Coturnix japonica: one gene and its partner. The protein of the gene in region 1 interacts with the protein of each later gene in a biochemical or structural test. Links are inferred from orthologs where the notes say so. Each region holds a gene or a part of one and is shown in the gene's direction. Other genes may lie near its edges.

Region 1 (3,972 bases):
CCAGCCCGAGCCCCGTGTGCGTGCAGGTGGCGGGGACACAATAGCGACCCGCGCACCCCCAGCTCATCCCCGCCGGCAGGTGCGGCCGCTCCGCCCGACCCGTCCGACCCCTTTTTCCCCCTAGGGAATGGCTCGGAGAAGATCCACTCTCCCATAGCGGGGATCGAGGCCCTTCCCGAGGCAGGTCCCGCCGTGATCCCAGCCTCCCCGTGCCATTTCTTTCGTAATTTCGTTGATTTTAGGGTTCCCCGATGGATCGAATATCGCTCTTTGCCGCCGTCTTTAGGACCGATGGACGTAGAGATAACGGATTGCACCCTGTGCCATCCCCATCTCTCCCCGCTTCATCCTCCGGGCAACGTGGGGAGGTGCCCTCATGCCCCTTTATCCACACCCCCATACCCCAAAGCCCGCACGGGGAAGGCCGGCACCGTTCCCATTCCCCCGTTCCCATTCCCATCTTCTCACCCCCACGAACCCCATCCCCCTTTCTCCACTTCCCCCCTGGGCCCGGCTCTGAGCTCACCCCACATCTCCCATCCCAAATTTCCCGAGGCCGAGCTGTGCCCGATCCCTCCCCATGCTCCAGTGGGGACGCTCAGCCACCCCAATCCGAACCCTAATTAAGGACACCCGCACTGCATCGGGGGGGGATGAAGGCTGCGGATGGGACCAAAGCAACCCACACCCCTTCCCTCTCTTTCAGCATCCCCACCGATTTCTTTCGGCTCATTAAATTTAATTAAGAACGGAGAACGTCTTCCATCAAAAAGAAAAAGAAAATAAAAAATAAATAAATAAAAATAAAAAGCAGGAAAAAAAAAAACAACCCAAAAAACACCCAACAAAAAAAAAACCAGGGCCATAATAACCTCCGAGAGGACTAAAATAAAGGATCGCCATTCACAGACTCGGGCAGAGCAGTGCAAGATTTTATTACTCCTTCTTTTTTTTCCCCTTCCTATTGCAGTGTCTTTTTAAGAGCATCTAAGCACACACACATAAAAAGCTAGAAGGCATTCCGGAGTTATTCCTATGCATATCCCTGCAATAATTTTCCGCTTTCCTTCGATAAAATTGCCAAATAATAATGAATCATTTCATAAATAATGGGTTTAGAAGCTTATCAGGGCAGGCGGGCCACTGCTGGGGCTTTATCTCTCTCGGCCACATTGCAGTAGTGTTCCGCTCTCCATACTAAATAGGAAACTGGACGTGATGTGGAATTAGAGCCTCCCCAGCTGAAGCCACCCCACATTACTACAAATATAGCCGCCATGCGTAGGCCACAAAATGGCTCCACTCACTTTTCCCAATGAAAAGCAAATGGTGAGTGGGGAGGGATCGGGCCCAGCAGCGGGATGGGGCTGGAGGGGGGCACGATGGAGGGGGTGGGGAGGGGGGATTTTGGGGGGCACGTAGGGGTCTTCTGCAGCCTGTTAAAGACAGGTGGAAGGGGGAAGAAAAGCCAAATGCGGCTTTTCCACGGTTGGGCTTTTTTTTTCTCTCTGTTGTTCTCCTTTGATTATGGGGGCTGGGGGGGGGGGCTGAGGTTGTCTTTCCTTGCTAACCGACCCCCCTCTTTCTACTCTGGGTGCAGTTCCCACTATCGGGGCTCTATGGGGAGATGAGGGGCGATGCGGGGAGATACACACTGTCCAGCCAGGGGGGGGGGCCCAGCCTGAACCGACCGCCGATCGGCACATGGGGGTTTCTCCCCACCCCGTTCCCCATCCCTTTCTCTCTCCGTTTTGGGGGTAATTCTCCCCACCAAGGGCACAGGGAAAAGTGAGTGGCCGGGGTGGAAATTTTCTGCCCATCCACGGTCGCAAAACAAAAGGAGTTGGAAGCGCAGAACAGAACGGGCGGAGATGTAATGCCCCCCCCCCCCCCCCCCCTCCATTTTTCTCCGTACAATTACCTCTAAATGAAACGAAAAAGCGGCGGATTTGGGGCGTTTTTTGGGTTTATTTCGTTTTAACGAAAGAAAATAGAAAAACACCAAAGGAGAAGCCGACGGGTTTATTCCGTTGTTTAACGAAGAGCAAAGCCCCCGCTCGGCATTTTGCTGCGGGAGGGTGGGGGGGCACGGATCTCTCCTTCCTGTTGATCGCAGCGGGGCCGCTACGGGCGGACACCGGCCCCGGTCCTCCGCGCTGAGCTCCGCGGCTCCGGCAGCGGCCCCGCCGCTATTAGCGGCCCCGTCGGAACAAACCAACCCCGACCCCATCCTAAATCTCCTTCCCGAGGAGACATCCAACAAAACCCCACTTAATTCAGCCCCAAAATATGCGTGGTTTTTTTTTCCCTCTTTTTTTTTTTTTTTTTTTTAAATTTTCTTTATTAATGTTTCCCCTAAATATATTATATTTCCCCCCAAATATACCAGCTTTCCCCTTAAATTTCTCATCCTTTTCCCCCCAAAGACACCACTTCTCCCCTCTCCTTATAACTACGGGCCGTGTGCCGGGGCTGTGCGCGGTGCCCCCGTCCCCTCGGTGCCATCCCCGTGTCCCCCAGACCCACCCTCTCTCTCCCTTTCTCTCCCCCCCTTCTCTTCCTCCCAGGCTTTAGCAGTTTTATCCCGATGCGGGTGTCCTTCCTCTCTGTAAAGTCGTAAGTACCTCGAGGTGGGAGGAGTAAATTCAGCCTGACACTGAGAGCGCTTTTGTTGAAACGGGAGAGACTCGCGGTGTCCCTACTTAAATATGACACATGTGAGTAATCTCTTCCTATACAATATGGGAATAGGCAATTAGATGCTCTTTCTGGAGGGCTGGCAGGGCGGGGGCAGGCGGTAAAGCTTTGGGTTGAACGGCTGATATTATGATGACTGTTATTATTATTATTACAGATGGAGAGGTGTGATCGAAATAATAATAATAATAATTTTCTCTGGGGTTGGATCAACCCAGAAATGATAATTATTGACCCAAAGCGAAGCAGCGGGGATGTCGGGAATGAGATTTGCACCGTTACTTATAGGGAGGAAAAAAAAAAGAAAAAAAGAAAAAAGAAAGAAAGAGCGAAGAGGGCGGTGGGAAAAGGAGAAATAGTCGCGATAGCGCTGCCCGCCCTCGGCTCTGTCGCAATAGTTTCGTTATAGGGGAGAAAGAAGGGAGCGGGGCCGCAGACAATTGCCGTGCGCGGCCGCGGCTGCTCCGAGCCGGGGCCCCTTCCTCCTTCCTGCTGAGCTCATGGGGGTGCGGGGCTTTGTGTGAGCGTTTCTCCCCTCCATTGGGCAGCGCCTGGAGCTTGGTTTCCATGTTGAAAATTAATAACAATTATTCTAATACGAATAAAGTAAAAAATCCCCCCTAATGGACCGAAATGTCCTCAAAATTGAGCGGGGAGAACCCTCGGCCTCCTTCCAGTTCCCTGCCCCTGTGGGTACGGTGTGTGTGTGTGGATGGGGGGGGTTCCAGGGTCATTGGTACAGGGGTACAAGGGAAGGGGGTTGGAGGTGTTTCTGCCGTGACGTCACGCCACCGCTGCGTGACATCACGCCGCAGAAGCGGGGGGACCCCCCTGTCGGGTTCGGGCCGCCCCGAGCGCTGCTCTCCCCGCAGGACGATGGACAGGCCGCCCGCCCCGCCGCCCCCCAGCAGTGACCCCCGCGATGCCCGCCGCCACGACCCCGAAGCGGAGCCCACGAGCGAGCCCGACAGCAGCCGAGGGGGCATGGAGCCTCCGGCCGAGCCCCAGCTGCTGCTCAACGGGGCGGCCAAAGAGGCGGGCCGACCCTCCCCCGGGCCCCCCGCCGCCGCCGTGCCCGTCATCGAGTTGGTTCGCCGGGGGGGCTCCTTGGACATAAAAAGCCGAGAGGCGGCGGGGGAGGCGATGCAGAGAGCGCCGGGAGCCGAGCCGTGCCGCGCCGCCGAAGCCGCCTGCGAAGCCCGAATGGTGCAGCTGAGTCCCCCCGCGCTGCCGCTGCAGCCCCCCGGCAGGGCGATGCTCTACAACCTGGGGCAA
Region 2 (4,164 bases), on another chromosome or scaffold:
CACACACACACACACACACACACACACACACCAACTATGTTTGAAGGTGGTTGTTTTTGACACACCTTTAAAGCCAGTAAAAGAAATGAAATGTTCATCGTTCTGTCCATGAAACCTGGCAAAGGAGCTGCACTGTGACAGGAACATTTGGTTGTGAGAACAGCTGCCATACTGTAACGGCTTAAAATACATTGGAGATAACTCTTTTAAAGAATAAGATGTATTCTAATGACCAGTGATGGCTCTAAAGCATTGCAAGAACTCAGTTCAAAGCCCTTGAAATGAATAACAACCCTTCTGCTGACGTTACTAATCTTTGGCTCAGGCTCATTAATGTATTTCAGATATTATAACCCCGGTGCCAAAAAGATGAAAAAATTAAAATGTACTCATAAAAATAGACATCAAATGTTTTTCTGTTCTGGGAATTAATATAGAAGCTAAATGCTTCTGCTAGCGCTTTACTGCTGATCTTTTCTTACTGTTTCTGAAGGAATTAGTGGGGCGAGTGGCTCATTTCAGCCAAGGCTCTGCCTCCAGCAGCCACCCTGATCTCATGCCACACAGACTGGGAAAATGCTATAACCACTGTAATAGTTTTCACTCTAGCCCTGTAAATCAGCTCTTTCCGGGACGTGCTGTGCTGATGGAGAGGAGGGGGAGGAAGGATGGGAGTGGAAATAGAGACATTCGGGCAAGAGTTGCCCACCTTTAGCTTTCGTGTGATTCATTATGGATCAATACTGTGCTCACGAGCTTTTATAGCTCATTAACACCAAACAGCATCAAGATATAAATTTGTTATAGTGCTTACCGAGAACTCGGGGGCATCTGGAAGCAGACACGAGTGACCAGTAACTCAGGGACACAGCGGGATACAAAGGAAGCACAGATTAGTTGACCGATTTGTGCTCTAGGTAGAAAACAGAGCTCGAGTTCTGACCCAGCTCCTGATCTCCAGGTGCCGGTCGAAACGTGCGTGGCGTGGGCATGTGCGTGTGTATTGCTGGGGAGGACGAGGAGAGGGAGCGTGACCCGCTGTGATCCCTTGTGGGACTGGGGTGCCGGCAGCTCGGAGCCGGCCGAGGTTTCCCTCAGCCCTTCGGATGCTTTCGGGTCGAGCACTTCTCCGGGAGCCCCGCGCAGCGGTGCGGTTCTGATCCGTGACGTCGCGATGTGAAAACGCAGCGTCAGCTCGCAGCTCCGGCTGCGGGGAGCCCGAGCTCTGTCCCTTTAAGAAACCGAGCGAGTCGTGATGCCGTTGTTTGTGTTGCTAAACCCCCAGGAGTCCAGTTAAGAAACGGGCAGCTGTCTCTTTAAGCGTGATTTCCTTCTATTGTATTTGAATCGTGATCAGGAAAAAGGAAATGAAACCGGAGAGCCGGGGCCGCGCCGCTCAGCACTAATAGCGATGCCGAGCTCCCCGGCCGCAGCACCCGCCCGGCTCCGCGGGGCGAGCTGAGAACCGCGGCCGGGCAGGCACCGGAGAGCGGCGGGCAGACAGCGGTGGCCGCGGTAGTCGCCCCCCGCCCGCCCGCAGAGCCGCAGCCGGGGGGGCGGCCCCGGCGCACGGAGCGCAGGAGGAGCGCGGCGAGGATGGGAGGTTAGAGCCCGCGGGCAGCCCCGCCGCCGGAGCCCGGCAGCCGCCCCAGCCCGCGTTTGTGTCTCTCTTTGGTGTTGCAGGAGGAAATCCTGTGAATGTCATTGGGGGGCGGAGGGGGAGCGCGGCCGGTGACAAGGCGTCGAGAGCAGACGGCCTTTGCGGGGGCAGCGGGGGCAGATCGCACCACAGGCACGCTACAAAGGAGCCATCCCTGCCAATGTCATCGGCCATCGAGAGGAAGAGCCTCGATCCTTCCGAGTAAGTGGCTCTTTTTCTCCCTGTCTCCCCACCCCTCCGTTCCTCGCGGTGCCACCGACGGCAGCCTGCCGGCCCCGCGCTCCCCTCCGCTGTCACGGGGACCCCTCTCCGGTGGGGGTCTCTGGGGCCGGAGCACGAGTGCTGGACAGCCCCATTGGGAGGCGGCTGCGGGCGCAGCTCCGGGCCGGGCGCCTCCAGCCGCCCCTGGGTTGCGGGACCCGCTGCGGGGCTCTCGCCCAAGCTGAAAGCGGTTGTCGTTTGGGGTCCCCGGACCTGCCCCGCGCTCTTAGCCGATTATACCGAAAGGTCGGAGCTGTTATCTGTGGGTGCCCGACTTCCACATTTGCACAACGCGAGGCGCTTTGTAACTTTCAAGGTCTTTGCTGGGGGAGGTGTTGCGCAAAAGGCGTGCAGAGGGACCCCACGGTGCAGGTGGTGAGAATTCCCTTCCCCGTTTTTCATGTTCGTGGAAGGGGCCGAGCCGCAGGTCCTGTCCTGCAGCCGGTTCTGTGCAGCCTTCCCGGACATTCACCGTCCTTGACTGGGGCGACTGTGCGTGAAACAGCGCTGCGTGCCTTCGTAGCTGCAGTTACACCCCTTTGGAATCGTGATAAGAGAGAAAGAAAGAAAATCTCCTGTTTCAGATAGCACTTAAAACATCGCTCTTAGTTAAGTTTGGTCGTCCGCGGTTTGTTCCCTGCGAGATATTCAAGTGCCGTCTCTTGTAGCTGTGAGTGTGCACAGGGGAACCATCCCCACTGTGGGTTAAATCAATTCCTGCTGTGTTGTGTTTGATGTTTTGCGTGCTACGTTTTTTCTTCTATCATCTTTGAGAAATCAGCATCTGAACTCCTGGGTGTCAGTGTCCCACTTTGCACTGCAGTGCTTTAGTAGAATTTATTTGCTTTCCTGCTCAGTGTCCTACTGACTTCTCTGGCATGCAAATATGTGGTGAAGTGATGAAGAAGAAAGAAATTCTGTTCCTCAGAAATGTGTGGGGCTGTTAGAGAGCTGCCTTGTGATTCCCAGAACCTGCGAGACCAAAATATTTTGGGGCTGCAATCTCAGGTTTTGCATAATGTCCAATAAGGGACACTAAGGTGTATTCCCTTGCAGCTGCACTCTCTGTTGGGTGGCATGCAGAGCCCAGTCTCTAGGAAAGGAACTCTGGGGCTCAACTGAGAAAGCTTGGAAGAAGCAGGGCCTGCTCCTTTCACAGCCCACACTGTCTGGAGTTTCAATGAGAGCTCACAGAGCCTGGGGAGCACCGCTGGGGCCCAGCAGCTTGAGCACTGGGAAAGCAGTGGGCTGAGCGTCTTGTCTCATCACATCCCAGGGCTCAGCTCATGAGAGCTACAAGGATCAGTTTCATAGCACAGAAGTTGTTGAGCAGTGGTCATTTCTCCACCTTGTTCTAAGTCATTTTTCCCTAGAAAACTGCTAACCCGCTAAAAACACTGTATGGGTCTCCTTGTGGCAGCAGTTATAGGATTTCTCCTGTTGCCTGCTGGAATCCCAGAGCAGCCCAGTTCTGCCTTCGGCATGTCTCTGTGCTGCCAAGGGCAGAGATATGGCACTGGTGGACTGAGAACCCCAAACAGTCTGAGGTTCTGCTCTGCCTCCTGTTGAGCACTTTGGTCATGGTCCAGTAAAGCAGATAAACCTAAAGGTGCAAACCTGTAATTTCCTTTCCACTAGCAGAGGGCTGAAATGATACAGGTGCTAAAGGACTGATCCCAAAGTCTTCTTACGAGCTTCACTGGAGTCTGGATGAGGGTCTGTGTCACTGCAGAACTGAGCTCACATGCCTTCCTTTTAGGTTTTGAGCATCGTATAAAATCCAGGCTTCATTCAAAGCAGCAGCAAAGCATAAACCAGCTTGGCAGCAGCCACATCTGTTGTAGTTATTTATTTAATGCTGCTCAGTGAAATAATATCCACAGAATTAGTCTTCAAATTTACATTCCCCAGAGGAAAGCTGGCTACATGTAGAATCCCTCAGGTACCTTTTCTAATCCAACAGTCCTCTGTGAGGCAGAATAGCCTTTGCTCCCAAGCAGAACTACAGTCAAAGCTCAAAGCTCCAAGTCTACACGATGGGCTTGTGTGCTTTGGGGTGCATGCATAACTGCTCTATGGGGCTCTTCAGTAAGTTAGAGGTAGATCAAGATGTCGTCTGAGTTCATACAGGCATTTATAGGTAAATCTTAAAAATACTGGGGGAAAAAATAAAAGGGGTTTATTTTGAATGGAAACTGAAGCCTGGCTATGTGTTGTGTCAAAACAGGATTACTGGAAAACAG

Evidence for each region.
Region 2: the proteins of TAL1 (region 1) and LMO2 form a complex in vitro, tested with the Homo sapiens proteins (2 studies listed by BioGRID). The link is inferred for Coturnix japonica from reciprocal best matches to the Homo sapiens genes TAL1 and LMO2.

Annotation. Positions count from the first base shown.
Region 1 is NC_029523.1:19,453,964-19,457,935, reverse strand, and holds the start of TAL1 (T-cell acute lymphocytic leukemia protein 1), read left to right. Parts: upstream 1-1,172; 5' UTR 1,173-1,315; coding exon 1,316-1,329; intron 1,330-2,567; exon of another isoform or gene 2,568-2,715; coding exon of another isoform or gene 2,716-2,717; intron 2,718-3,569; coding exon 3,570-3,972. UniProt on the Homo sapiens protein: Implicated in the genesis of hemopoietic malignancies. It may play an important role in hemopoietic differentiation. Serves as a positive regulator of erythroid differentiation.
Region 2 is NC_029520.1:6,398,283-6,402,446, forward strand, and holds the start of LMO2 (rhombotin-2), read left to right. Parts: upstream 1-1,364; 5' UTR 1,365-1,596; coding exon 1,597-1,603; intron 1,604-1,683; coding exon 1,684-1,861; intron 1,862-4,164. UniProt on the Homo sapiens protein: Acts with TAL1/SCL to regulate red blood cell development. Also acts with LDB1 to maintain erythroid precursors in an immature state.